4 linked regions of the Anolis sagrei genome follow. The protein of the gene in region 2 purifies or fractionates together with the protein of the main gene of each other region. This does not show direct contact. Links are inferred from orthologs where the notes say so. Each region holds a gene or a part of one and is shown on either strand. Other genes may lie near its edges. The genes, in order: ARHGEF7, PXN, ITGB1 and CTNNB1.

The links.
Region 1: the proteins of PXN (region 2) and ARHGEF7 purify together in Homo sapiens (affinity purification with mass spectrometry; 3 studies listed by BioGRID and IntAct, with this or other methods). This does not show direct contact. The link is inferred for Anolis sagrei from reciprocal best matches to the Homo sapiens genes PXN and ARHGEF7.
Region 3: the proteins of PXN (region 2) and ITGB1 purify together in Homo sapiens (affinity purification with western blotting; 3 studies listed by BioGRID and IntAct, with this or other methods). This does not show direct contact. The link is inferred for Anolis sagrei from reciprocal best matches to the Homo sapiens genes PXN and ITGB1.
Region 4: the proteins of PXN (region 2) and CTNNB1 purify together in Homo sapiens (affinity purification with western blotting; 3 studies listed by BioGRID and IntAct, with this or other methods). This does not show direct contact. The link is inferred for Anolis sagrei from reciprocal best matches to the Homo sapiens genes PXN and CTNNB1.

What each region holds. Positions count from the first base shown.
Region 1 is NC_090023.1:109,923,637-109,931,570, forward strand, and holds the start of ARHGEF7 (rho guanine nucleotide exchange factor 7), read right to left. Parts: upstream 3,017-7,934; 5' UTR 2,649-3,016; coding exon 2,484-2,648; intron 1-2,483. UniProt on the Homo sapiens protein: Acts as a RAC1 guanine nucleotide exchange factor (GEF) and can induce membrane ruffling. Functions in cell migration, attachment and cell spreading. Promotes targeting of RAC1 to focal adhesions. May function as a positive regulator of apoptosis.
Region 2 is NC_090034.1:45,993,977-46,001,406, forward strand, and holds the start of PXN (paxillin), read right to left. Parts: upstream 3,004-7,430; 5' UTR 2,908-3,003; coding exon 2,895-2,907; intron 1-2,894. UniProt on the Homo sapiens protein: Cytoskeletal protein involved in actin-membrane attachment at sites of cell adhesion to the extracellular matrix (focal adhesion). Recruits other proteins such as TRIM15 to focal adhesion.
Region 3 is NC_090026.1:112,675,175-112,683,103, reverse strand, and holds the start of ITGB1 (integrin beta-1), read left to right. Parts: upstream 1-4,929; 5' UTR 4,930-5,165; coding exon 5,166-5,174; intron 5,175-7,929.
Region 4 is NC_090026.1:76,601,301-76,608,832, forward strand, and holds the start of CTNNB1 (catenin beta-1), read right to left. Parts: upstream 3,011-7,532; 5' UTR 2,897-3,010; intron 1-2,896. UniProt on the Homo sapiens protein: Key downstream component of the canonical Wnt signaling pathway.

The sequences.
Region 1 (7,934 bases), on a different chromosome or scaffold from region 2:
CTCAAATCTAACCAGATAATCTGCAAAAAAAGTTACTTGCTAACAAGCTTAGAAAGCATCTCAAAGATAACCTTGTGAATTTTTTTCACCCACAAGATATTTCTACCCTACACTTGAAGACTGTGTCATATGATGAACACAGTAGGTTGCCATTTTTAAGTGGATGGCTCAGTAGTATTTAATGAATGTGATGAAGTGGATAGTGTCCTGTAATTCAAAGTCAATTTGAGAGCAATTATAAAAAACAAACCACTCTTGCCAATAGCCACTCTGCCCCCTAAAGGCTACTGTCATGCAAATGATACTCAAAAGATACAAAGATCTATGAAATAATGCCAAAACTTCAGGTTAGGATATCCTTTCCAAAAGACAACAGTTCCTCTCTTATGTCAAGTTCACATTACCATGGAACGTCTTTAAAAAAAAAAACTAGCCTGGGCTTCCCATTCCCACCAATGAAAGAGAATAAAAGCAAAACAATATGTAGGTCAAAGTTCACCATAGTTTATAGAGGGGGGAATCAATGAACAAGCACCAATTTTTCCAGAACTGTAACCAGGGAAATTGAAATGCAATGTGCTAATCAGAATATCTGGTTCTTAGACAAAGAATAAAACACACATCTGTAATCACTTGAATTGAAACAATATTTTAAAGGCTTGTTGTGAGTTTTCCGGGCTGTATGGCTATGTCCCAGAAGCATTCTCTCCTGACGTTTTGCCCACATCTATGGCAGGCATCCTCAGAGGTTGTGAGCTCTGTTGGAAACTGGACATTCCAGATATATAAACCACACTTGCCTAGTTTCCAACAGACCTCACAACCTCTGAGAGTGCCTGCCATATATGTGGGCAAAATGTCAGGAGAGAATGCAACCCAGTAATTCCGGCCATGAAAGCCTTTGGCAACATAATATTTAAAAGAACAAACATTCAAGAATATTATGGTTTTTACATGAATATTATGGATTTTCCAAGAATATTATGAATCTTACAAAAATATTGTGAATTTTACATTTTGAGACAAGAAAAAAAACCCCACACAAACCAATATTTTTTCCAATTTGAACAGATTTAGAAAGCATCAAGTAATGAAATCTCAAAACTAAAATCTTGGAGAATAACACACACAAACTGTGCCTTTGCAAATTAGGTCAGCATGTTGCAACGCGAAGTGCTAGAGAGACACACCTCATTTAAAAAAGGACTTATTTAAGCAACAGGGACTGTAGTGGCTCCTTCTAGTCTACCCATCTAATATTGCACATCATTATATCCACATCATAGAGACTTCTGACATAAATCTTGTGAAGGCTTTGACATCCCATTCAAAACGAGGGCCCGAGAGCTTGTCCATCCTGTCAATAGCCAGCCCTGAGTGTGGTGGAGGCTCCTTCTTTGGAGGCCTTCTTTGGAGGCTGGATGGCCATCTCTCTGAGGTGCTTTGAATGCTATTTCCCTGCTTCTTGACAGGGGGTTGGACTGGATGGCCCACAAGGTCTCTTCCAACTCTAGGATTCTATGACTATCAAAGAGGCCAGAAAATTGGCCTTTGGATCTGAAAAAGACTCCTAGCATCAAAACCATGCGCCTTGTTCATAGACCGCGAAGGGATCCCATTGGAGGCCCTTCATCCCTGCTGTAAAAGCTTCCTGCCTCTTGGCCTTGATGTGATTTCTCATTAAAGAACAAGGGATGCCCTAAAACGAGCATGTTTTCATTCAAACAGGATGGGGGGAAAAGAGCCACCATCTGCTGTAGATCTATCAGGTGGGGCTGAGCATCGCTCCTAGGGCAGTGCACGGTTTTGTGGGCGATCTGGGCCCAACCACATGTGTTTTGTCATGATTGAGAACCAAAGGAAAGCTCCTTTTGGGAGGGGTCCACCTCCCAAGGCAGGCAGGAGCTGCTCAGCCCCAAACTCTGTCTCCCTCCCAAGAGAGAAGCCCCCTCCCATGCCTTGACAATGGCGCCTTCCCAGCGAGAAGGGAAGGATGTCAATGCGAGGGGGTGAGGAAATAGGGTGGGGAGGGGGCTCCCCTTAAAAAGACCCCCGTTTCCTGCCTCTGCAAGGCTAATGCGGGACAAAGGAAAGTGCTGGGCATTTCCCCCAGCCTCTCTTGTCTTCCCCAGTCTGGAGGGCTTTGCGGAAAGCGGATCGGGAGGGGGAGGAAAAGGGGGGTGTCGCTTGATCCTGCCCAGATCCGAAACTGTGCCATGCGGGAGATGAGGGTGGGGGGTGGGATACTGGGGGAAGCAAAGGAAAGGAGGAGAGAGAGAGAGAGAGACCCCCAACCTCATCCTATACCCAGGGGATAGTGGATACTAGGGGAAAGGAGCAAGGGGAGAAAGGGAGAGGGAGACCCCACCAGCCTCATCCTAGACCCAGGTTCCCCCTCTCAGTCTCAGTCTCAGTCTCAACCCCCTTCCCCCCCTTCCGCGCAGGGTTGGAAAGCGGGGGGTCCGCGTCCGATCCGGACTCACCTTGTCGATGGTGCCGGGGAGGAGGCGGTCGAGGAGCCTGCAGAGCACCACGCCGTCCTTGAGCGAGGCCTGCAGGAAGCCCTCCGGGTCCGAGATGCTCTTCTTGGGCGACTCCAGCACCCCCAGGGTGATCAGCCATGTAACGGTCTGCTCCGCGGAATTCATGGCTGCGGCGGAGGAGGCCAAGCAGAGGAAAGGCGGCGAGGGGAGGGGAGCCAGGCCCCGGAACCCTTTATCCCAATCCAATCCAGGGGGGGGGGGCAGCAGGGCTGCACAAATAGCACGGCTGGGGGCGTCTAATTTCTCAATAATCGGAGGGGGGGGGCGGTTGATGTCTTGGGGAAGACCCCTCTGCCTGCCTTGCCTGCCTCCCTCCCTCGCTCGCTCGGCAGCCAGCCCACCTTCCTCCCGGGCTTCACATGGAGGAGGCGCCCCGCTCCGGGCCTGGCTGCCTCCTCCTGGCCATGGAGCCGCGGGGGGCCGGCCCGGTTCCTCCCTCCTCCGGAGCCTCTGGGCCCAGGGACAGGCGCCTCCTCATTACAGGCACACACGGACCTGCAGGGCCGCCACCGCCGCCGCCGCCTCTATCCTCCTCCCTCCTCCTCCTCCTCCTCTTCCCCTCCTCCCTCCCTCCCTCCTGCTGCCTCTCCATGACATCATTGAGGAGGGAGGGGATGGGGAGGGGAGGGGGAGAGGAGAGGAGGAGGAGGAGAAGGAGGCTCAGCCCCCCTCCTCTCCTCCAGGAGCCCCCGCATAAAAGCCGCCACCCTTGCCTTGGCCAAGGCGCTGAGGATGGAGGGATGGGTGTGGGTCACCCTTATGGGCACCCGCAGAGAGACCTGCCCCGCGTCTCCCTCTCTGCGCTGCGAAACCTGCCCCCCCCCCCGCCCTCAAAACCGGCGTCCACGGGATCCCTTTGCTTCGCTTTCCATCCCGAGGAGGGCGGGGCGGGGGGGGGGGGAGAGGATAGATGTAGGTAAGTAGGTAGTAGGTAGGTAGCTCTATAGACAGATCTAGGTAGATAGGCAGGCAGGCAGACAGACCTAGGTAGAGAGGTAGGTCTATACAAATAGACAGACAGATCGATCGATCGATCTAGGGAGATAGGTAGGTCTGTATAAATAGACAGATCTAGGTAGATAGGTAGGTCTGTGTAAATAGACAGATAAATAGATAGACAGGCAGACAGACCTCGATAGATAGATAGATAGATAGATAGATAGATGGATCTGTGTAAATAGATAGATAGATAGATAGATAGATAGATAGATCTAGGTAGATAGGTAGGCCTGTATAATTGACAGATGGACAGATAGATAGATCTAGGTCAATGGTTCTCAATCTGTGGGTCCCCAGGTGTTTTGGCCTACAACTCCCTGAAATCCAAGCCAGTTTACCAGCTTATAGGATTTCTGGGAGTTGGAGGTCAAAACATCTGGGGACCCACAGGTTGAGAACCATTGCTAGGTAGATAGGCAGGTCTGTAAAAACAGATAGCTAGCTAGCTAGATCTAGGTAGATAGGAAGGTCTGTAAGAATAAACAGACAGACAGATCTAGGTAGGTAGGTAGGTCTGTATAGATAGATAGATAGATCTAGTTAGATAGGTAGGCCTGTATATATAGAGGATCAATTGAGAGATAGATCTAGGTAGATAGGTAGGTCTATATAAATAGAGAGATAGATAGATAGATAGATAGATAGATAAGAGATAGATAGGTAGGTCTGGGACCAGAGTGAAGAGAGAGGGCCAGGAAGACAGTTCCACCTCATCTCCTGCGCTATGCTAAATAATTTAATATAATATAATGTACATATACATATAATATTTATAATATTATAATGTAATACAATATAATAATACTACTATGAATAATATGTTATTATAATTATATATTTTATATTACATGTAAAATTGCTATATTGTACTGTACCATTGTATTGTAATATTATTACAATAAGATGGTGTAGTACAATATGTAATATATAATACTGATATTGTGCTATGCTAATAATATAATATATTGTATGTATATATATCTTGTAAGCTGCTCTGAGTCCCCTTCAAAGTGAGAAGGGTGGCATATAAATGTCATAAATAAATAAAAACAGATAGGTAGGTAGGTAGATAGATAGATAGGTCTGTAAAAATAGATATAGATAGATAAGAGGTATATAGGTAGGTCTGTAAAAATAGACAGACAGATAGATAAGAGGTAGATAGGTCAGTCTGGATAGATAGATAGATAGATAGATAGATAGATAGATATAGATAGATGTGGTAGGTAGGTCTGTAAAAACAGATGGATAGATAGATCTAGGTAGATAAGTAGGTCTGTATAGACAGATAGATCTAGGTAGATAGGTAGGTCTATAGAAAAAGACAGATAGACAGATAGATAAGAGATAGATACGTAGGTGTGTATTGATAGGTAAATAGGCAGATAGAGTAGATGGATAGAGTTGGGCAGATAGAGAAATAGACAGATCTCGATCAATAGACTGATAGATAGATCCATGTATCTAGATAGAGAAATAGATGGCTAGATCTATGCACATGGGTAGATAAATGCACATGCGCTCCCTCCTCCTATATACATTGGGAGGGAGGGAGGGAGGGGGGCGCACCGCACACACCAATAGTCGCATCCCGCCAGGTGGCTGAAACACCATGTTAGAGGGAGGAGGGGGGTGTAGCGGCGGCGGCGGCGGCGGCCTTGGTGCGCCTCCCACGACGTGAACCAAACAGATCCACCCAGCTGTCACTTTGCAGCACCAGAATCCGAATTCAATGGGCAGCCCGTTGCCCAAGCTGTCAAGCGCTTGACATGCGATCTCTCCAATTCATTTTAAGAGCACTAAGGGAAAGGGGAGCGGCGGGGGGGGGGGTGTTATTTCAGCGGAGCCTCCTCCCCACCCCATCCCGTCGACCGACCATGCGGATCCCTCCCGGGCCACCTGAAGGAGCGGGGGAATCTATCGGTCACGAATTAGATTTCGGGTCTGTATTCAGCAGGCTGGGATCCGGCCTCGGGCGCCCCCTGGCGACGAATTGCTTTGCGCAAAGGCGCGAGTGAATGAGCTCATCCCATGGAAATAGCAGCAGCAGCAGCTAGAGGTAGGAAAGGAAACGGGGGGGGGGGGGGGGGGCTTGGGCTTCTTCCTTTTCCTGGCGGCAGAGAAACCTCACAGACAAATGAACTGGTTTCCTGTCTCTAGGAATAGATTTTTAAAGGTATATCTTCTCCCCCCACTTAAAAAAAAAAAAAAAACACTAAAAAGAGCAATAATTACCGATCTTAAAATACATGGAATCACTGATGCAATGACAAATAGACTCCCCCCTAGTCTAAAAAGATTTGAAAATAGACTACCAAAAGCATTAGAAATACAAATTGTTCATTAAACAGTTCCAAATGGATTAAACGTATGGGCATCTTGGCCTGATGTAAACATCAAAGCAAACTTTCACAAACATATTATTATATGTATATGTATTTATATCAGGCATGGGCCAACTTGGGCCCTTCAGTTGTTTTGGGCTTCAACTCCCACCATTCCCAACAGCCAATAGGCTGCTCATGCCTGATTTATATCCTGCTTTCTCACTCTAAAATGAAACCCAAAATGGCTAACAATACATTACACAATTTAAAACCTCAAAAACTTAACACTAAAATAGGATTAAGATAGGAGGACTTGTCACTGCAAGCTATTGTTAATTTTGCCAACTTCATGATATTCATGGGGGGCAATTTATTTTCCTCTATTGCATCCTTAAATATTAAGACTGTTTGTGGATTGTGGGGCAGTTGAAGCTGTAGAGCAGAAGGACCTGACGAATGTTCTGTAACATTTGTAAAATTATAGAGATGCAACAGGTAAATCAAATAACTGAGATAATTCAAATAGGAACCATGTAGATCAGTGATTCCCAATCTGTGGTCCATGGACTACCAGTGGTCCATAAGAACTAAAATATGGTCCACAGTCTCACCATTACTATACCGTTGCAACAAGAGTGACTGGTATCGCAAAACCCTCTTCTAGTGCCAAGGCTGATTAAATATGGTTTTCTGTGGGTGAGCAGATGGCGTCTACTGGATGTCATACGTTCTGGATCACAAACTAGAGCTGATGTGGTCTATCCAATGCAATTTCCTGAATCACCACCTCAGATAACCAAAACGAATCTAAAGTTGACCAAAAACTTATTTGTAACCCTTTTAGTACTAATGTTGGAGAGTGGTCCCTGGTCAAGTGGTCCCTCGTCAAAGAAAGGTTGGGAACCATTGGTATAGATAAACAGTGTGGTTACACATGTCTAAGTTACAAGTAAATGGGCAAAAACTATCAAGTTTACAAAAGGATCAACAGGACAGAAGAGTGCTGAGTCTTCATCCCTTGATGCACACATTTTGTTGATGTGATTGTTGTATGCCTTCAGGTCATTGATGATATAGGGTGATCTTAAGGTTTACTTTCCCCATCCATTACTGGTGTAATCCTTAAATATGAAGACTATTATAATCATAGTGTCTACTGAGAATTGTTACCCCAGATGTCCAATGTACTTCATTCCCAAGGAACTGCACAGAATGGATTGCAGACACCTTTTTTTTTATTCTGGTCAACCCTAAGGTGAGCCTATCATGGGCTTCTCTTGACAAGATTTATTGAAAGTATTTTGCCATCGGCTCCCTCTGGAGCTGAAAGAGTAGGACTTGCTCATGGTCACCGACAATTTTCTATGACAGTGTTTCTCAACCTGGGGGTCGGGACCCCTGGAGGGGTCACGAGGGAGTGTCAGAGGGGTCACCAAAGACCATCAGAATACACAGTATTTTCTGTTGGTCATGGGAGTTCTGTGTGGGAAGTTTGGCCCAATTCTCTCATTGGTGGGATTCAGAATGCTCTTCGATTGCAAGTGAACTATAAATCCCCCCAACTACAACTCCCAAATGTCAAAACACACACACACACCCAACCCCACCAGCATTCAAATTTGAACATATTGAGTATTTGTGCCAAATTTGGTTCGAAGAGTGGAAATACATCCTGCATGTCAGATATTTACATTGCGATTCATAACAGTAGCAAAATTACAGTTATGAAGTAGCAAGGAAAATAATTTTATGGTTGGGGGTCACCACAACATGAGGAACTGTATTAATGGGTCACGGCATTAGTAAGGTTGAGAAACACTGTTCTATGACCAAACAAAGTGGAGTCCATGACATGTGAGTGTAGAGAAGAGCAAATCACAGACCACCTAATACACCCCCTACCAACCCCAGAGATCCCTCCGTTCTGAGGACCAAGATCTATTGGAAGTCCCCAGTGTCAAGACCTTGTGTCTAACAGCAACGAGACGCAGAGCCTTCACAGCAGTGGCCCCATCACTCTGGAATACTCTGCCACCTGAAGTCCGTGCCTTGCGGGACTTACCAG
Region 2 (7,430 bases):
AAAGAGGCTGCCAGAAACTAAACAGGACTATTCAGACATTTAACATTTTTGGTAACTCCCACTGGCTGCTGCAATACAATTAGAATTGTGGAAAATATATATGAAAATGGCTGCATTTGCAAGACACTGATGGCAAAAGCATTTAAACACAGCACATAAAAAGGCTGAAAGTATAACATGATACTCAACTTACTTTTTGGATTGTGAACCATTTTTACAACCATCCCAACCAAGGCTAAGTTTTGCAGACGGGAAGGGGGGTGGCCATACTAAATGCACTCTTGTGTTTACTCACAAGTAGGCTCCATTAAGTTCTATGGAACGTACTTTTTGGTATTGTGTGCAGGCCTGGGGTATGAGGTACACCTGGCAAAGGGAAACAATCACAATAGGAGTCTAACATGCCAACATGGAAGGAAGAGTAAACTGAGACCACAATACATATACACTGGCAAATGTCCAGGCAATTTCTGAGTCTAGACTGGGGAAGTGGCAAAGTGAAAAAGCTTTCAGAGCCTGAGGGTAAGCTAGGGGCTAGATTAAGTTTTACATACAGCTTCACTACATCTATTGAAATGGTACTTGCAGAAAAAGTGATGAACCAAGTAATATTCGTTGCAGTGAGTCGTTGGAGTTGGGACTAAAATTGAATTTAGCCTAAAGGAAAGTAAGAGATGGAAAACTTTTAACTTATTCATTGCAGGTTTTTGTACAGAAAGAATATCCCTAAAGCCATATTATGAGATATATCAAAAAGTAAGGAGCGATCAACCTGTTTGTTTTTGTAAAAATTCAGAAAATTTACAAAATAAAATGACTTTTTCATTTGAAAAGACTCTTTGCTAACAAGAACTTATATCCAAGGTTTGCAAAACGCCATATACATAGCTTGAATTGAACCATGTTGTCATCCCCAATCTTAACCATGTTTACACAGAATCCAATTCCACGTTCAACAGCAGTTATTCAATATTAAAGCCAACAGAAGAGGCTTGTTCAACTCATTTTTGTTCAACCAAAAGAATCTTCCACTTCAGAATGCAGCAACCTGAAAGCAACTGCAAGACAAACATCTTTATTAGGGCTAAATAAAAATATTACACAGAATAGTATGCGAACTGTGAACTTCTTCCAAGCAATTCTGCAGGTTGGTTTTTAAGCAAAACCAGAATGCTGAACTCCTGGGGGGATTCAAAAGTTTGCTCACTACTTGGCATCACATTTTGGTTGGCAGAATGGGAACTACGCTGTTATTTTTAGGTTATCGTTGCTTCCTAGAGGATCAGCCTGAAATTTTTGTACATCAAGAAAAATATTTGATTTTACTCGATCGGTCATTTTCTCTTCCTTCCCCAAAGCATGTTGAGGAGGACACATGTCAGAATACTTTTCTCCCAATTTTGGTTTTGTAAAAAAAAGAGACCTAAGGAGAAAATATGAGGTTATGAGCAAAAGGACTGGGAACAGAGGTGAGGAACATAAAAATACAGGTTAAGCAGCCCTTTTCCCAAATCCCCAAAATGCTCCAAAATCCCAAAATGTTGCAATAGCAAACACTTTGCTTTCTGACGGTTCAAGGTAGTTAACTTTTGTTTCGCGCAGAAATGTATTTTTTAAATGGTGTGTAAACTGACCTTCCAGCTGTGTTTCAAAGATCTATGAAACAGCAACAAATGTGGAGTTTGGACGTGAGTTTCCATCTGTAACAAACTTTGTTTTGTGCCCCACAATATGAAAAACAGACCTCCTGGCTGTGTTTCTAAGGTGTCTATGAAACAGAAAGGAATGTGGAGCTTGGACTTGGATCCCATCTCCTATGCCTATGCAAACACTTCTCAAATTGAAAGGGAAAACAGGCAAAATCCCAAAAGACAACTGGTCCCAAGCATTTGGGAGAAGCTCAAGGCAAAGGAAGGAGGTGTGAGTTTAGATGAGGGGAAGACTTCCTAATGCAAGAGAATTGTGTGGAAAGTAAGGTTGGGGAAACCGAGGCGAAAGGGGAAGAAAGGAACTGAAAACTTGGGACAGGGATTCTGGGGAGGATTCTAATGTAAGGCACCAACCAGACTGCTCTCCCACTCTCCAAAAAACAAAAGCAAACAAAAAAACCCACCAGTAAAGGGAGAAGGAAATAACAAAACAAAACATAAAAGAAGGAGGGAGTGCTTGGAGGGGAACTGAGCAAAGGCATAGAGCTGAGAGAGAGAAATGTAAGGAGCATTGTGATAGTTCTAATTGGAAAGATGGGAATGGATAGTTCTGAGGGGAAACATGGGATTCGTGACGGGACATTGATAGTTCTGTGGGGAAATTTGGCGATTGTGAGGGACACTGTGATAGTTCTGAGGGGAAATTTGGGGGACATTGTGATAGTTCTGAGGGGAAATTTGGGGGTTGTGAGGGAAATGGTGATAGTTCTGAGGGGAAATATGGGAATTGTAAGGGACACTGTGATAGTTCTGAGAGGAAATTTGGGCATTGTGGGGGACACTGTGATAGTTCTGAGGGGAAATTTGGAGGACATTGTGATAGTTCTGAGGGGAAATATGGGAATTGTAGTAGTTCTGAGGGAAAATATGGAAATTGTGATAGTTCTGAAAGAAATACGGGAATTGTGATAGTTCTGAAAGGAAAGATGGGAATTGTGAGGGAAACTGTGATAATTCTGAGGGGAAAGATGGGAATTCTGGGGAGTTTGTGGAGCACTGTGATCATTCTGAGGGAAAAGATGGGAATTGTGATCGTCCTGAAGGGAAAGATGGGCATCCTGGGAGTTGAGTGAGGAGTTCTGAGGAGAAAGACGAGCATTGTGGTAGTTTTGTGGAGAGTCTGGTGGGGAAAGGCGTACCCCCCCCCCCCCCCAGTTGGGTTGGCCTTGCGGATTCTTTGCTCACCCAGGTCGTCCATGTTTCCTCCTCCGCCGCCGCTCCCCGCTCCGACCGCCGCTTGACTGGAGGCGCCGCAACTTTGGCCTCTGCTTGGCCGCCCCGCGCCTGCGCGCGACGCCCCCTGCCCTCTCCCCCTCCCTTCCCCTGGCCCAGCCAGGACCGCCCCTCGGGGCGCGAGCATCGACGCACGCGCAGAAGGCACCTTCGAAAACTAAGGCGGCCCGACAGCGCCGCCCACTCCCCTAGTGGCAGCGCCTGGGAGGCGCAAGGAAAGAATTGGGAGCGGGGCAGAGAAGGCCTAGGCAGAAGCTGTGTTCAATCGCTTCTGTGCAAATCTGGGAAATGGTGTACTACTATAGACAAATGCAGGAGACCAGAAGTGTTCAGAGAATATCTGCCTAGTGCCTACGCCTAAGGAGACAGAACCCATGACATTCTTTGATGCTTCTTTTAGGAAGCAGAATAAGTGCAATTTGGCAATGCTTTAACTGGCATGGCTCATTGCTATGGGATCCTGGAAGTTTGATTATTTCTGTGGCTTTCTCTGCCCAAGAATGCTCATGCCTCACCAAACTATGCCTGATGCAAGTTTTTAAAAATATATTTTTGTGTTTTTATCTATGTCATTTACTGTATATATATATTTATGTTTGTCTATATATTGTTGTTGTTCATTCGTTCAGTCGTCTCCGACTCTTCGTGACCTCATGGACCAGCCCACGCCAGAGCTCCCTGTCGGCCGTCACCATCCCCAGCTCCTTCAAGGTCCTCCAGTCACTTCAAGGATGCCATCCATCCATCTTGCCCTTGGTCAGCCCCTCTTCCTTTTGCCTTCCACTTTCCCCAGCACAATTGTCTTCTCTAAGCTTTGCTGTCTCCTCATGATGTGGCCAAAGGACTTCAACTTTGTCTCTAGTATCCTTCCCTCCAGTGAGCAGTCGGGCTTTATTTCCTGGAGGATGGACTGGTTGGATCTTCTCGCAGTCCAAGGCACTCTCAGAACTTTCCTCCAACACCACAGCTCAAAAGCATCTATCTTCCTTCGCTCAGCCTTTCCTAAGGTCCAGCTCTCACATCCGTAGGTTACTACAGGGAATACCATGGCTTTGACTAGGCGGATCTTTGTTGCCAGTGTGATGTCTCTACTCTTTACTATTTTATCGAGACTGGAGATTGCTCTTCTCCCAAGAAGTCTTCTGATTTCCTGGCCACAGTCTGCATCTGCAGTAATCTTTGCACCTAGAAATACAAAGTCTGTCACGGCCTCCACGTTTTCTCCCTCTATTTTCCAGTTGTCAATCATTCTTATATATACTGTATATATATTTATGTTCGTCCCCCTCGATGGACTGTCACCTTGTCGTGGTGAGGGGGCTTGCGTGTTCCAATGAAACTGCAGGCACAACAACTGGAATCGTGCAATCCCAGGAGTGGCCACGGGGGAGGTTCCAGACCAAGCACAGTCTGAAGACCCAAAGACCTCAATGGCAGAGCAGGCGGAGGATAATATGGTACATGTTACAATGGCTGTGAAGACGGAAGAAGGCTGCAACAGATTGAGAAGCCACGGTCATTGTGTTAAACTACATCACCAGTGGAACCTCACTCTGTGAAGACTGTGTGTTGATCAGTGTGCACTGACCTCCGCACATTAAAAAAACTCATGCACAGGCGTCTTCCAAAGAAAATAAAAACAAACCTACAAAAGTCCCATGGCGATCAGCGAGTGGTGACGGGGGCAGGACTGTGAAATATGGAAGCCCCTAGTCACAGACTGGCACATGGATGGATATGGACTCAGTCATTCTACCTCAAGGTCCGAGGCAGTTGAGTAGTTCGGCAGCTGTATCCATGACTGAGTAGCCCTTTTGAGGATCCACTCTGCTCACCCCACATGAGGAAGGGGCTAGAAAAGGTGCCCTAAACATAGTCTGCCTCTCTTATCCCTGACTGGACTGCCGCATCCAGTGGGGTCACCACCCTGCGGCCAAAAAAGGAAAATGAACTTTGGTACATGGAATGTACGGACACTGATGGACAACACTGACAGTGAACACCCCGAACACAGAACTGCCATCATTGCAAGAGAGTTGGGATGCTTTAACATCGACACAGCAGCCCTTCAGGAGACCCGGAGAGCAGGAGAGGGACAGCTGAAGGAAGAAAAAGGAGGCTACACCTTCTTTTGGAAGGGACTGCCCGAAGAAGACCAAAGAATGAACGGAGTTGGCTTTGCTATCAGAAATGATCTGGTGAAACATCTGACCGAAGCACCCACTGGCATCAATGAACGACTCTCAACCCTCCGAATTGAACTTGCCAAAAACTAACAGGCAACCATCATAAGTGCCTATGCACCAACACTAGATGCTGATGAAGACATCAAGGAAAAAAATTACTGTCAGCTGGACACCGTCCTATCGGAGATACCTAAGGAGGACAAAATCATCTTCCTGGGGGACTTTAATGCAAGTCGGGCGAGACTTCGACCTGTGGCCAGGGACCATAGGAAAAGACGGGGTTTGAAACAGCAACTTGAATGGCATCCTGCTTCTCACCAAATGTGCAGAACACAACCTTGGCATCAACACGCTCTTCCGCCAGAAAAAAACAAGTTCAAGACATCATGGAAGCACCCCCGGTCAAAGCATTGGCACCTCTTAGACTAAGGAATCACACGTGCCAGAGACCGCCATGACGTGCTCCTCACAAGAGCCATGACAGGTGCTGACGACTGCTGGACAGACCACAGGCTAATCCTAACCCAAGCGCAGACTCCAAGGAAGAAAGACAAGGTGCAAAATGAACACCCAAGCCCTTCAGGAGCCCTCAAATTGAACCCATCTCCAAACAGCACTCAAGGACCATCTACCCACAGAACACCCCGAAAATGTTGAGGAACATTGAAATAAACTGAAGACCTCCATCATCACAGCCTGTGAAGAAAGTATTGGATACCAAACCAAGATGCATCAAGACTGGTTTGATGAAAATGACGAGATCCAACAGCTAATTGACAAGAAAAGGAAAGCCTTCCAAACATGGCAGAGAGACGTCAACTGTGCTGCTAAGAAAAAGATCTACACCAGTGCAAAAGCTGAGGTCCAAAGAAGGACAAGAGAACTCAAGAACATCTGGTGGACAAAGAAGGCTGAAGAAATCCAACACCTGGCAGATACCCATGATGCTCAGGGATTTTTCAAAGCCACAAATGTCATCTATGGACCAAGAAACCATGGCACACAGCCTCTACACTCATCAGATGGAACCAAACTCCTGAAGGACCAAAAATCAATTACACTACGTTGGAAAGAACACTACCAAATTCTCCTGAATCGCAGCTCCAATGTGGCCGAAAAGGTTCTCTCACAAATCCCACAACAACAAACCAGGGATGAGCTTGCAGCACTGCCTAATCTGGAAGAAGTCAGCAATGCCATCAACCAACAAAAAATAACAAAGCCAGAGGACCTGATGGGATCCCTGCTGAAATCTTTAAAGAGGGAGGACCTGAGCTGACACAACAACTCCACCAGCTCATAGAAAAAGTGTGGGTGACCAAGAAAATCCCAGCAGATTTCAAGGATGCCACCATCATCACCCTCTTCAAAAAAGAGGAAAGAATGGACTGTGGAAACTATCGAGGTATCTCCCTTCTAACCTTCACTGGGAAAATCCTAGCAAGAATCCTTGCAAACTGCCTTCTACCCCTCTCAGAAGACACCCTCCCAGAATCCTAGAACGGCTTCCACCACTCCAGAGGAACCGTGGACATGGTCTTAACTGCACAACAGCTCCAAGAAAAATCTGCCTCTGTACATGGCATTCATTGACCTTGCAAAGGCATTTGACACAGTGAATCACAGCGCTCTCTGGACCATCCTCCAAAAAATCGGCCTGTCATTGAACATCGAGAAAACCAAAGTGCTGTTCCAGCAGTCACCAGCCAACCCCTCTCCAATGCCAGAGATACAGCTTAATGGTGTAACATTAGATAATGTTGACCATTTCTGCTACCTTGGCAGCCACCTCTCCACCAAAGTCAACATTGACACCGAACTACAACACCGCCTGAGTTCCACGAGTGCAGCATTTTTCCCAATGAAGCAGAGAGTGTTTGAGGACCGGGACATCTGTAGGGATACCAAGGTGCTTGTTTATAAAGCTATTGTCCTCCCAACCCTACTATATGTCTGCGAGACGTGGACTGTCTACAGATGTCACATGCAGCTCCAGGAACAATTCCATCAGTGCTGCTTCCAGAAAGTCCTGCAAATCTCTTGGGAAGGACAGGCAGACAAATGTCAGTGTGCTGGAAGAAGCAAAGACCACCAGCATTGAAGCGATGGTCCTCTGCCATCATCTCCATCTGCCTGACAACTGTCTCCCAAAGCAGTTGCTCTACTCCGAACTCAAGAATGGAAAATGGAATGTTGAAGGACAGGAAAATAGATGTAAAGATGGGCTCAAAGCCAACCTTAAAAACTCTGGCATAGACACTAAGAACTGGGAAGCCCTGGCCCTTGAGCGCTCCAGATGGAG
Region 3 (7,929 bases), on a different chromosome or scaffold from region 2:
GGAGCACACTTAGCAATAATACAGCGTTTCCCAACTGGGGGGTCGTGGGGGGGGGGGTCAGAGGGGTCTCCAAAGACCATCAGAAAACACAGTATTTTCTGTTGGTCATGGAGGTTCTGTGTAGGAAGTTTGGCCCAATTCTATTATTGGTGGGGTTCAGAATGCTTTTTGATTGTAGATGAACTATAAATCCCAGCAACTACAATTCGAAAATGTCTAGGTCTATTTTTCCCAAATGCCATCAGTGTTCACGTTTGGGCATATTGAGTATCCATGCCAAGTTTAGTTCAGATCTATCATTGTTTGAGTCCACAGTGCTCTCTGGATGTAGGTGAACTATAACTCCAAAACTCAAGAATAATGCCCACCAAACTCTTCCAGTATTTTCTGTTGGTCATGGAAGTTCTGTGTGCCAAGTTTGTTCAATTCCATCATTGGTGGAGTTCAGAATGCTCTTTGATTGTAGGTTAACTATAAATCCCAGCAACTACAACTCCCAAATGACAAAATCAATCTTCCCCCACCCCAATCTTCAAATTTAGGCATATCAAGTATCTGTGCCAAATTTGGTCCAGTGAATGAAAATACATCCTGCCTATCGGATATTTACAATACAATTCATAACAGCAGCAAAAATACAGCTATGCAGTAGCAACAAAAATACTTTTATGGTTGGGGATCACCATAACATGAGTAACTGCATTCAGTGGTCATGGCATTAGGAAAGTTGAGAAACGCTGCAATAATATATCACTTCACAAACTAGGCATCACTACAGAAATACAATAAGAATATAATTCAATCATAGTTTTGCTATCAAACCTGGAGAAACATGAGTAATATGCCATCAACACGCCTATTCAGATATCCTTGATACTAATGAAATAACATGTTAATTAAAAATGTTTTCAGTTGTTTTTGTAAACCCAAAATATTAGGTTAATGTTGAGCATGAATATGATTTCCTAGTTTTTTTCAAACCCTAAAATATTTGACCTACTCTAGTGGAAATAGTAATTAGAAACAGCCAGCAGGAATTACTTCTAAGAAAACGCAGCACATATTACTGATTGTTTATATGAAAGTGGAAAGTTGGAGATATCTATAAACCTCAGTCAATCTTTACGATGGCTGCATTTCAATCCAAACTGTCACTTGAGATGCAAAATTTGGTCAGTTGTGTTATGATAGCAGAAATATTCTGTTTTTATCCAGGCATGCTAAGCAAGCATCCTTGGTATTTTACTGTGTCCCAATGCCAAACCTTGTGTTGTGTTTTCCAGAAAAGAATGAAAGCGGTTGGCTGCAGAAATATCCAGTTTCTTGATCATCAACAGACATTAGCAATAGTAGACATGGTGATTAAGGTTACTGTTTCTATGCTTAATATACCCTTTATGGCACACAGTAAACTACTTAAGTGTCTGGAATAGATAGTGAAGTTCTTCTTTGATGACTGTTCAACAGAAAAACAGGGAAACAGGGAAGAGAATTCGCCTTTTCAAGGCTCTTCAGTGATATTCCAAATGAAAAGAGCAGGAAGGGCTGCTTTTTTCTCTACCAATCCATGTAGAAGTGTCTGTTGGGGGCAGGAATACAAAAATAACAAGCTAGTATATTTGTCATACCAAGTAAATGATAAATAATGTACTTTGGAATAACTCTTTAGGCTACGTGAACATCGACAACCACCTTCAAGACAACACATATAGAGAGAACAGGGAAGAAATAAAAGCTCCAAAACTGGTCATTAATAATAATAATAATAAAGACAGAGAACAGGACTGATTGCTGATGGGTCCAGACTAGAAGCTGGATACAAAACAGATTTCAGTTTCCTCCCAAAGACAAAACCATGCAACGAAGAAACAGACACTTCTTGCAACAAAGAAACAAAGGCTCCCACCAGTCAAACTCTAAATGCAAGCAGTTATTAAAATCCCACACCAACAAAAAGCAAGTTAGTAGAGCTCTGCTTTCCTTCTATATGTCTGATTAAGGGTGCATCTCTACAGTGCAGCATGAATGCAACTTGACATCACTTTAAATGTTGTGACTCAATGCTGTGGAATCCTAGGAGTTGTAGTTTAGTGAAGCACCTGAACTTTTTGGCAAAGAAAGCCAAAGACTTGGGGTGCATCTCTACACTGTAGAAATATTATTATTATTATTATTATTATTATTATCTGCTTTTATCTCTTGATTGAGACCCAATGCAGTTCTACACCACTTGAACAGCCATGACTTAATGCTATGGAATCCTGAGAATTGTCACTATGCAATTATTATTGAAACACAACAAGATAAGTCCACAACAAACAAGAACACTCTGCTGGTTGTTGTATTGGATCACAAGTCAGACACTTCCCAAGTGTCTAGGGCTGTGTGATGTATTGGCGAATAATGCATGCAGATCCCAGTAAGGTGGCCTTTTGCAGCTGACAGATGGTGATTTTGTCAGCACCGATTGTGTTTAAGTGCAGGCCAAGGTCTTTAGGCACTGCACCCAGTTTGCCGATCACCACTGGGACCACCTTGACTGGCTTGTGCCAGAGGCTTTGCAGTTGTATTATTAATAATAATATTATGTTTATTATTATTATTATGTTTATTATTAGTATGTTTGTTTATACTCTGCTTTTTCTCTCCATAAAAAGCCTTTTGCCTCCCCTGACAAAGAATGTTGTCTCACCAAATTACAACTCTCACGATGCCATAGAATGGAGCCATGGTAGTTCAAGTGGTGTCAAACTGCAATAATTCTACAGTGTAGAGGCACCCTGGATTTACTGAGGCATAGGAAAAGAGAGCAGTGATTCCTGATAGCCAAGAAGGCAAATGGAAAGGGTGCAGCAACACCAATGTGCTTTGTGAGGCCTAATTTCCCCTGAAGTGTGGATGTGCCCTGTAGAATGAACACTGTTTGACAACATCTTGAATTGCCAAAGCTCAAGGCTACGGAATTATAGACCATGTAGTTTGGTGAGGCACCATCGCTTTTGGGCAGAGAAGGCTGGAGTTTGTAAAATTTCAGCTCCCAGAATTTCTTAGCATTGAGCAAGGAAGGTTTGAAGTGGTGTCACATTGCATTCATTCTATAAATGCACTAGGAAACACTACCGGCATTAATTCTGGGTTGTTATGAGCACAGAGTTTGCATGGGATCCTAAACTTCCAGAAGAAAGCTTCCCAAATTTTGTGAGGCTTGGGACAAGAGGACTGAGACTCAAAATGGAAATGGAGGTGAAGGAAACAGGTGAAGCAACACTTTAGGCCCCTTCTAGTACATCTTGATATATATTAGGCATGGGTAAACTTTCTAAATTAGGGTCTGCATGGCGAGCCAGAGCGGGATTGGGGGGCAGGAAGGAGGGGGTTCTCTCTAAGTCCCCTTGCTGCCCTTTCCTCTTCTCTTTCAGAGGCAGAAAGTGATGGAAATACAGGAAATGTTTGGATCCCAAAAGGGTTGGCCTTGATCAGGATGAGAGGGTGAACAGGAGAGAAAAAGTCTATCCATTAGACACTGTATAGAATCCTGATATAGAATCCTAAAGCTGGAAGAGATCCCCCAAGGACCATACAGTCCAACCCCCTGCCATGCAAAAAGGCACAATCAAAGCATTCTTGAGAGATAGCCTCTGCGGAAAAGCCCCCAGAGAAGGAGACTCCACCACACTTGTAGGCAGACTATGCCACTCTGCAAGAGCTCTCACACTCAGGAAGTTCTTCCTCATCTTTTCAGTAGAATCTCTTTCCCTACCATTTGAATTCATTGCTCCCTTGGTGCCCTGGTCTTTAGAGCAGCAGAAAGTGAGTCTCCCCCCCCCCCTTCCTCCTCAATGAGGCACCCTTTGAAATCTTGAAACATGGCTTCATGTTTCCTCTCTAACATCTCTTCTCCCAGCTAAACATCCCCAAAGAAGGAAGGAAAAAGAGAGGAAGGAAAGATGGATGGATGGAAGGAAAGATGGGTGGAAGGGGAGGGAAGGAAGGTGGAAAGAGAGAAGGAAGGAAGGAAAGAAGGAAGGAGAGATGGGGAAGGAGGGAGGAAAGAGGGAAGGAAGGCTGAAAGGGTGGAAGGGACAGAAGGAGGGAGGGAGAAAGAGGGAGGAAAAGGGAAGGGAAGGAGTCAAGAAAGAGAGAAGGAAGGAAAGATGTATGGAAAGAAGGGAGGTGGAAGGGAAGGAAGGGTGGGAGGAAAGAGAGAAGGAAGGAAGGAGAGAGGGCGAAGGAGGGCGGGAGGGAAGGAAGGATGAAAGGGTGGAAAGGAAAGAAAGAGGGAGGAAACGGGAAGGGAAGGAGGCAGGAAAGAGAGAAGGAAGGAAGGAAAGAGGAAAGAAGGAAGGTGGAAGGGAAGGGAGGAAGGGTAAGAGGAAAGAAGGAAGGGAAGACAAAAGGGAGGGAAGGAAAGAAGGAAGGAGAGAGGGCGAAGGAGGGAGGGAAGGAAGCATGAAAGGGTGGAAGGGAAAGAAGGAGGTAGGGAGAGGGGGGGGGAGGAGGCAGGATCATGAGGGGGGAGGGCTGTGAAAAGAGCCCAAAGGTCTGCCGCATCCGGCCCCCATGCCTGGGTTTTCCCATGCTTCCCTTAGTGCCTTGTGAGGCCTAACTCTCCCTAAAGAGTGGACAAAGGAGAAGTGATGCAGTTTGGCACCACTTTTCAATGGCAGGGGATTGTGGAAGTTGTTGTTGTGGAAGTTCTCTGCCCAAAGAGGCGGGTGCCTCCCCAAGCTACGAATCCCAGGCTCCCTCAGCCTTGAGCCAAAGCGGTATGGGGCTGAAGTCGTGGAGTTGGCGGCCAAAGCCGGCTTCCTGGAGGCGCAGCAGAGCTTGCCCTGGAGGCGCCTCCCTTCCAAGACGGCGGCGAGAGGGGAAGCCCCGCTCCTCCTCCTCCTCCTCCTCCTCGACGAGGCAGCGCTCCGCCCCGAGCCTGACGGCAGCAGCCAGGAATGCGTTTCCGGAGGCGGCCAGAGAAGCGAGCTGGGCCTGGCCCTCCTCTCCCCGGCCCTGAAGAGGCGGCCTGGCTCCGGAGGACAGAGGAGGAAGGCAGGGAGGAAGGCGCTTCTGCTGGCCCTTCCCAGCCTTGAGGCGCAGAGTTGGGCCTCCCTTGGAGAGGAAGGAGAAGAGAGGAGAAGGAGGAGAGGCTTCAGGGAAGAGCCACCGCCGCCATGGCCCAAGTAAGAGGACTCTGCTTCCTTGAGGTGCAACTACATGTGGCCTGGACAAACTTGGGCCCTCCAGGTGTTTTGGACTTCAACTCCCACCATTCCTAACAGTCTACTACAGCTCCCAGAAGCCCCCAGCCTGCGAATGCAGGCTGGGGGCTTCTGGGAGCTGTAGTAGGCTGTTAGGAATGGTGGGAGTTGAAGTCCAAAACACCTGGAGGGCCCAAGTTTGCCCAAGCCTGCTCTCTATGGATTAACGCAACTTCTAATGGCCTTCTTGTCTTTGTAGCTTCTGGGAGGAAAGGAGGGAGGCCAAGGCGTGGCAGAGGCATTGCTGGACTCGTGTTGGGAGGCCATCCCAGCCCTTCCCTTCCCTTCCCTCGCCTTCCCTCCTTCCCACCTGCTTGAAACAACCGGGACATTTTATCCCACCTCCCTTTGAGGCAACAGTGTTGCGGCAAAGTTCGGATTTGTGGGCGAACTGATTCATTGTGGCTCTACTTTCCTTCCATAGGAACCCAGGCTGCAAAGGCTTCTGCCACCTCTAAATCACAGAGTTGGGAGAGACCACAAGGGCCATCCAGTCCAAGCCCATTCTGACACGCAGGAAGGCACAATCAAAGCACTCCCGACAGATAGCCATCCAGTTTCAGTCTCCAGAGAAGGAGACGCCACCAAACCCCGAGGTTGGGTATTCTATTCAACAGTCAGGGAGTTTTTCCTATTGTTTAAATGGGATTTCTTTTCCTGCAATTTGAATCCATTGCTCCCTGGCTAAGGCCCCTTCTATATAGCCCTATACCCCAGAATATCATGGCAGAAAATCCCACAATATCTGCTTTGAACTGGGTTATCAGAGTCCACACTCAGAAAATGTGGGATTTCCTGCCTTGATATTTTGGGATATAGGGTTGTGTGGAAGGGCCCCCAGAACATTAAGGCAGAAAATCCCACAGTATCTGCTTTGAACTGGGTAATCAGAGTCCACACTCAGAAAATGTGACATTTCCTGCCTTGATATTCTGGGATACCTATATCCCTATAGCCCTAGCTGTGTGGAAGGGCCCCAAGAACATTAAGGCAGAAAATCCCACAATATCTGCTTTCAACTGGGTTATCTGCATCCACACTCAGATAATGTGGGATTTCCTCTCTTGATATTCTGAGTTATAGGACTGTGTGGAAGGCCCCTAGGGCCCCTTCCACTTAGCTGTATAAAATCCCACATTATCTGCTTTGAATTAAGGGCCCTTCCACACAGCCTTATATCCCAGATATCATTGCAAAAAATCCCATATTATCTGAGTGTGGACTCAGATAGCCCAGTTCAAAGCAGATATCGTGGGATTTTCCGCCTTGATATTATGGAATATAGGGCTGTGTGGAAAGACCCTAGGTTATATGGCGGTGTGGACTTAGGACCCTATCAGACAGGCCCTATATCCCAGGATCTGATCCCCAGTGGCGTAGTGGGTTAAACCAGTGGTTCTCAAGCTGTGGGTCCCCAGGTGTTTTGGCCTACAACTCCCAGAAATCCCAGCCAGTTTACCAGCTGTTAGGATTTCTGGGAGTTGAAGACCAAAGTATCTGAGGGCCCTTCCACACAGCCCTATATCCCAGAATATCAAGGCAGAAAATCCCACATTATCTGAGTGTGGACTCAAATAACCCAGTAGAAAGCAGATATTTTGGGATTTTCTGCCTTGATATTCTAGGATATAGGGCTGTGTGGAAGGACCCTGGGGACTCATAGGTTGAAACCCATTGGGGTAAACCCTTGTGCCTACAGAACTGCTGACCATAAAAGTCAGCAGTTTGAATCTGGAAAGCAGGGTGAGCTCCTGTCTGTTAGCTCCAGCTTCTCATGCAGGCCCATGAGAGAAGCCTCCCACAGGAACGCAAAACATCTGGGCATCCTTTGGGCAAGATCCTTGCAAACGGTCAATTGTCTCACCCCAGAAGCAACTTGCAGTTTCTCAAGTTGCACATGACACAGAAAAAAAATTCCAGGTTTTCTGTTTATCCCAGATTATTTTGCAGTGGAGACTCCTATAATCCAGTTTAATGCGGAAAACCTGGCATCAGATCCTGGGATATAGAGCCTGAGTGGGGGCCCTTCCACACAGCCATATAATCCAGAATATAAAGGCAGAAAATCCCACAATATCTGCTTTGAACTGCCATATATCCCAGTTCAAAGCAGATAATGTGGAATTTTATTCAGCCGTGTGGAAGAGGCCTGGAAGGACTGTCAGATAATCCAGTTGAAAGCAAATATTGTGAATTATCTGCCTTGACATTCTGGGCTATATGGCTCTGTGGAAGCGCCCCTAGTATCCAGGGCAGTGGTCTTCATTGGAACATCCTTTCAAATATGTAAATATAGCTCTCATGTCCCCTCTCCATCTCCTTTTCTCCAAGCTAAACATATCCATCTCCCTCCCTCAATGCTCCTCTTATTAGTGCTTGGCTTCCAACCCTTTGTCTGTTTTGGTATCAGTGATGTTAGCATAATGTGCCTTTGAAAGGGAAAAGAGGAGGGAAAGGGCAGGATGTAATTGGAGAAGTTTTGGGGTGCGTCTGTACTGTAAAATGAATGCAGTTTGACACCACTTGAACTGCCATGGCTCAAGGCAATGGAATAGTGGAAGGTGTTTGACAACGTCTTTAGCTTTCTCTGCCAAAGAGGGCTGGTGCCTCACTAAACTACAAGGCCCATGATTCCTTGTCCTTGAGCCAGGGCAGTTAAAGTGCTGTCAAGCTGCAT
Region 4 (7,532 bases), on a different chromosome or scaffold from region 2:
ATGTGTCATGTTATTTTTCCGTGGTAGTACTGCTAATTTGAAGTACTCAGTGATGATTATTTCACTGAAGATTATGGATTAAACAACTATTCATTTTTGTTGTTGATATAATCTGTGGATTTATGAAGGAGATCTATATATCTATACAGGAAGGAGTCAACTATCAAGTTAGATAAATTTATCTTATAAACATGCTGTATTATGAGGGGAGCATTTCTAGGTACAGTGAAAGACAGGCATAAAATACTTTAGCAAACGTGTTACATAGTTTTCTGCTGAGAACTGCACTATTTTAGCAGCTTCCAAAATTGCTACTTAAACTGCAGGAACAAGGCAACGCCCTCAAGTTAGGTTAGGCATTCAGGTCAGGAATGCAAACATTTCCAACTTTGATTGGGCATAGTGGAATATTTAAAATTATGCTTGAAGTTTTATTGAAATACCTAGGCTTGTACTGTTACTCCAAGATATCAGGAAATACCATTAGAAAACACTTATTGATAAATCACAACTTCATCTAGATTTGTTTTTACATTCCCATTGACACACATGTCTTGAGCTCTTTTTAAAGGCAGTACTAAATTATTACAGCTTCTTTATACACCTGAAAGACAGAAAGCACAATTCTGTGGATTTAATGTATTTAGGTAACAGCTTTTCATAAGTCATAGCAGTACTCTCAGGACCCTTCCACACAAGCCCTTTATCCCAGAATCTGATCCAAGGGGCCTTCCACACAGCCATATAACCCAGAATATAAAAGAATAACCCACAATATTTGCTTTGAACTGGGTTATCTGAGTCCACACTGCCACATATTCTAGTTCAAAGAAGGTATTCTGGGTTACATGGCTGTACGGAAGGGCCCCAAGATTATCCCAGGTTATCTGGCAGTAGGGGCTCATATATTCCATGTTTCAAGCAGATAATGTGGAATCAGATCCTGGGATGAATGGCAGTGTGGAAGGGCTCTCAAAGTAATATGCAGATACACCCCTCCCTCTAAATATGGGGGAGGGGATAAATCAACTTTCATAGCTAATGCAATTTCAAATTAAATGGCAGGACCAACAGTCCCAAAATATCTTCCAGGTGAGATGTCTAAACAAGCCTTGGGATACTTTCCCCTGCTGGAGACAACAAATGAAATAGTACATTTCCCTGGAATGGGAATGGCTTCCCAAGTGCCCTTCCACACAGCAATATAACCCAGAATATCATCCTAGAATATCTGCTTTGAACTAGATTGTCCGAGTCTACAATGCCACATATTCCAGTTCAAAACAAAATAAATGTGGGATTGTATTCAGCTGCGTGGAAGGCATCCCACACTCTCCCCCTCTGGCTGTTAGAAATTGTGGGAATTTAAGTCCAAAACACCTGGAGGGACAAAGTTTGCCCATGCCTGATCTACACTTTCAAACTGAGCTACAAAACACCGTGATCTTAGTCGGATCCTGTACGGAAGCCTGCCCTACATCTACTATCTACACTTTCAAACTGAGCTACAAAAGGTTCTTGTGGGTTTTTTTGGGGCTATATGGCCATGTTCTAGAGGCATTTTCTCCTGACGTTTCACATGCATACGTCAGGAGAAAATGCCTCTAGAACATGGCCATATAGCCCCAAAAAACCCACAAGAACCTAGTGATTCCAGCCATGAAAGCCTTCGACAATACATTGAGCTACAAAACATTGTGTGCTTAGTCGTATCCTGTACGGAAGCCATCGAAGCCTGCCCTACATCTACACTTTTTAAGTGAGCTACAAAACACGGTGTGTTTAGTCGGATCCTGTACGGAAGCCATCGAAGCCTGCCGTACATCTACCATCTACACTTTTAAACTGAGCTACAAAACATAGTGTGCTTAATCGGATCCTGCACAGAAGCCATCGAAACCTGCCCTACATCTACACTTTTAAACTGAGCTACAAAACATGGTGTGCTTAGTCGGATCCTGCACAGAAGCCGTGCAAGCCTGCATAGTACACTTTCAGGGCTCCAGCAACCAAGAGCGCCCCTCCCGCAAAGTATGCAACCTGAACCAAAGCCAAAAGAAGAGGAACTTCATTGCACACAATGCAAACAAACCCGAGACGATTTCCCATCCCCTCCCCCCGCCCCTCGCTGGAGGTTTGGAGGCGACACCCCGCCAGGAAGTCGGGACGGAAGGGCTCCCAAATCCCATGTCGTGCAAGGCGCCCGCTCGCGAGGCATTGCGGTTTGAGGAGATCTTTTGCAGGGATCCCCACCTCCAGGATCCGCGTGAGGAAGGAGAGAGTTGGGGCGGATCGCTGCCTGGAAACCTCCCTTCGCCTCAACACCGTAGAAAGTACAACACGCAGGCCGAGAAAGCCTCCCCACCGCAGGACAACAAACAAGGCACGGAGCGGCCCTTGTGCAAGGCGATCCCACTGCGAGAACTTGCATCGCGGGCACACAAGGGGCGAGAGGAGGGGGTAGCTCCGTCCCACCCACTCACTCACTCACCCACCCCCCAAAATGGGAGCAAACACGCCGGGACCTCCCCCTCTCGGACCCAACTCTCCCCCTTTCCTGCCTCAACCGCTCCCTCCCTCCTTCTCTCCCTCCCCAAGTTCTGCCCCACTCACTTTGCCATTTCTCCCCGCCTCACACTTATCTCCCCCTCCCTCCAAAACACACCAAAATCCACTCACTTCCTGTAGGGAACACACCGCTGCCTTATTATTGCTCCCTCCGCCAACCTCAAGGAGGAAAAGTAGTGCGACCAAGCCCAAGTTTCTCTGAGGAATGAGGGGAAGCGCGAAGGGGGAGAGAGGAAGCCCCCGAAAGGAAAGAAGCTGCAGCAAACCGCGAACCCTTTATCCCTCGCGTCAGGCGACGGAAACCCCCTTTCTTTCCCCCGCTTCTCACCTCGCCCGGAACGGTCCTTTTCCCCCCGTCGCCGTCGCTCCCACCGAACCAAGAGAGAGAGAGGCTTAAAATGGCGCCGCTCACCAGGAGCCTCTTATAGTGAGGGTGTAGACTTCTCTGTGTATCCTGCCGCCGACGAGCCCCGAGCGCGCGCGCGCAGCATTCCACAAGGTAGAGAAAATAGTCCCCGCTCCGCCCAATCAGCGGCCTGCTTCGTGCTCGCGCACACATACACACACAGAGGCGCGCGCGCCCTCTCTCTCTCTCTCTCTCTAGGAAGCAACTAAACGCGGAGGGAGATAAAGTGAGGGGAAAAGAAGAGCTTCAGTGTGTATCGAGAAGGAAAGGGATTGTGGGAGCGCGCGGGAGGGTGCAGGGATTCGCCTCCGAGTGTAATGAGGCGCGGAGGGGGCTACTTTTGGGAACTGAGAGAGAGAGAGACACCTTTTTCTACGCGAGGAATGAGGCGGCTTCCCGCAACCTGAGGGGAGAGAGGCGCGAGCGCGGGCTGCAGAGCCTGGCTTCTCTCTCTCTCTTTCCCCCCTCCTCCTTTTTTAAAGCTACAGGCACCCCTTTGCATCCTAGTATGGTTTTTATACCAGAAGACTTGTATTTCTTTTATTATTATTTATTTACAGTATTTGTATACCGCTTTTCTCACCCCGAGGGGGACTCAAAGCGGTTTACACATAAGTAATGGCAAAATTCAATGCCACTACAAACAATTAAAATTATACACTACAATTGAAGGAGCTGGGGGTGGTGACGGCCGACAGGGAGCTCTGGCGTGGGCTGGTCCATGAGGTCACGAAGAGTCAGAAACGACTGAACGAATGAACAACAAACAATTAGACATAAATCAAGTTAAAAACAGTGCATCCACAAGTAATAAAACAATCGTTAAAACAATAAAACAGTTTCGTCAGTCAAATCGCCATTCCAGTCATTGTCTTTCTGAAATGCTGCATACATTTCCTTCTACTGCCCAAAGGCCTGGTCCCAATACCATGATTTTAATTTTTTTCTAAAAGCCAGGAGGGAGGGAGCAGATCTTACCTCATTTGGGAGTGTGTTCCATAGGCAGGAAGCCACAGCTGAGAAGGCCCTGTCTCTCGTCCTCGCCAGACGCCTCTGTGCTGTTGACAGGAGCGAGAGCAGGGCCTCCTATGCGGTGGGATGTAGGGGTGGATGCGTTCGGACAAATAAGCTGGGCCAGAACCGTATAGAGCAGTGGTTCTCAACCTGGGGTCCCCAGATGTTTTTGGCCTACAACTCCCAGAAATCCTAACAGCTGGTAAACTAACTGGGATTTCTGGGAGTTGTAGGCCAAAAACATCTGGGGACCCCAGGTTGAGAACCACTGGTATAGAGCTTTATAGGTCAAAACCAGCACTTGTAGTCCCCAATCATGTCGTTTCAGGGAAACCCAGCAAATACTTGGGATGTTATGTCTCCCTCAGGATCCGCGAAGAGGAAACAAAAACGAAGGAATTCAAAAGTTTGTCTTACCTCCTGACTTTTCCAAGCCTTTTTAGTGTTGCTTGTGTGACTGTGGAGTGGAACAGACAACTCCACATCTGTATGTTTGTCCACTGTGCCCTGTCTCATGTACAGAGGAGGAATTGTTGGAGGCTATAGACAATGCCATTGCTGTTGCCCGTTTTGAATCAAAAGATATTTAGCCGCCTGTGAGCCTTCTATTTTTATCAGTTTTATACTAATTCATGCAATGCTTTTGCTACAAAATAAAATAAAAATGTTGCTAGATATGAATATTGTTTGCCACTCCTTTCAAACTCCAGAAGACTTCCATCCTCATGCCTCTCTCAAGGATCATCCAGTTTGAATTGGGAAAGCACAACTGGCCATCACCCAGCCTCTGTTTCGAAGCCTCCAAAGAAGGCGCTTCTTCCCTATCCTTTCAACAAGGCAAGTTGCTGTGTTTACATTAGTGCGTTCTCTTCATAGAAGGCCTTGAAAGGAGCAGAAGGGCTTCAAAAGTCAAAATAAACAGAAAAAGGTGTGGGAAACTTCCTAACAAAAGTCCCCCACATGTTTCCAAACTTCACTCCAGGCTGGAACGGGAAAGTCAACAAGAGAAGTGGATGGGAAGTGTTTCCACATGAGAGAGCCTGCCATTTTGAGGCCTGGAAGGAAAAGATGAAGGGAAGTATATCTACAACAGACATGGGTAAACTTGGGCCCTCCAAGTGTTTTGGATTTCAGCTCCCACCATTCCTAACAGCCTCAGGCCCCTTCCTTTCCCCCCTCAGCCGCTTAAGGGCCCAAGTTTGCCCTTGCCTGATCAACTGTAGGATTAATGCATCTTGGCCGATAAGTTGCTGAGCCAAATTCATCTAAAGCCCTAAACAATTCGGGCCCCACCTATCTCCCTCTATGAACCGACATCTCCCTCTATGAACTGGCACAGACACTAAGATCCACCAGGAAGGCCCTCCTCTCGCTCCCACCACTGTCTCAAGCCTGGCTGGTGCTGACAAGAGAGAGGGCCTTCTTGGTAGTGGCCCCCCAACGCACTCCCCAAGGAGATAAGGCTGGCCCCATCCCTCACCTCCTTCCGTAACATCTTGAAGACCTGGTGGTTTCATCAGGCCTTCGATAAGAACTAGTTTCAAGCCCTTGGTCCAACAGTTAGGAGTTGGCCTTGTACTCCATTCATTCCCCAGTTCCAGGTCATCTGAGGGCACCTTTTCTTCTGGCCTAGACCTTTTTTTATAGTCCTTTAATTGACCCTAGAATTGAGTGGCCCCTAGTAGGGTAATTGCTGAGACTGATCCTTGTACTATAGTATTCTGCTACAATAGAGGAGCTTTTTTGTTGAGTTCCAGGGCCAAAGAACTGCCTGTCTCAGGGGAGCGTGTTTGCTCTATCAATGTTCAACATTTACACAAATGACCAGCCATTGCTAGAAGGGACAGAGTTTCATCTATGCTGATGATCATGCCATTACTGCTCAAGCAGGGAGCTTTGAGATGGTTGAACAGAAGCTCTCCAAAGCTCTAGGAGGGGGCTGAGGATCTACCCTAGCAAACCTTTTGTATCATTATCCCAATATCCCCATGCATATGGGATATATTGAGCATGGTGATCAGGTCAGATTAATGGAACATCTCAGCAAGAGAGAGTCCAAAAGTGGCAGGCTCAAACCGCATATCGCATTATCACGGGGTGTCTGTGCCCTAAACCACTGGAGAAATTACACTTTAGTCAGTATTGCACCACCTGACATCTGCTGGGGTGTAGTAACCAATAGTGAAAGGACCAAGGCAGTGACATCTCCAGCCCACCCCGTTTGGGTATCAGCTAGCACGTCAATGCTTTAAATCAAGAAATAGTTTTCTGAGATCTACAGAGACACTCGCTGGGACATCTCAGCAAGCGAGAGTCCAAAAGTGGCAGGCTAAAACCCAGAACCTCAATCAATGGCTGATACCGGATGAGAGACTCCCTCCTGGGCACACAGAAAACTGGGTGATTTGGAAGGTGCTCTGGCACCACGAAATGCAGAGCCAACCTTAAGAAATGGGGCTACAAAGTGGAATCCACGACATGCGAGTGTGGAGAAGAGCAAACCACAGACCACTTACTACAATGCAACCTGAGCCCTGCCACATGCACAATGGAGGACCTTCTTGCAGCAACACCAGAGGCACTCCAAGTGGCCAGATACTGGTCAAAGGACATTTAATAGAATACCAAATCTGCAAACTTTGTGGTTTGTTTGTTTTTAATGCAATACAACTGTTTTGGTTCGCTCTTGACACGATTAAAAAATGCATTGGCTCAATCCCAGAGTCAATTTGGCGCTTTGTTTACAGCCTTAGCCCCGCCCCCTTGTAAGTGGGCGGGGCTAAGGGCAGGGAGGCCACGTGAGGGACGCTCGGACCCGCGCGCCGCCCTTTCATCCTGGTCTTTGGTGGGGGATTCAGAGAGAGAAAGAGCTCTCTGATGCCTTAAGATAGCTCTCGCTTGATTGATCCCTAATGCCATTAATCCTATGCAAACTGCTGGAGGGGAGGAGTAGGAAGCTTACTTGGAGGGGATACAACCCAAAAGAGGAGGGGGGGGGGGAGTCAGAGTTTCCTTCTGCAGCCCAGATGCAATCCACATCCTGACGCAGGAGCCAGACCCTCTCTCTCTCTATAGCAATCTCATCGGGACTCACGTCTAAATCAGGCTACACAGAAAACGGTTTGTGTTGTGCAACTTAGATTTGTAGTTGTCTGGCGTGGGCGGGTCCCTTAAGTCTTTTGTGGGCGCTGAATGTATCATCTAATTCTAACCCATTTTATTCTCTGTCCCAAGGCAGCAAAAATGCAAGATACTCCACTTTGGCAGAAAAAATGAAATGCGAAGATACAGAATGGGGGACGCCTGGCTCGAGAGCAGTACGTGTGAAAAGATCTTGGAGTCCTCGTGGACAACAAGTTAAACATGAGCCAACAATGTGATGTGGCGGCAAAAAAAGCCAATGGGATTTTGGCCTGCATCAATAGGAGCATAGTGTCTAGATCTAAGGAAGTCATGCTACCCCTCTATTCTGCTTTGGTTAGACCACATCTGGAATATTGTGTCCAATTCTGGGCACCACAATTCAAGAGAGATATTGACAAGC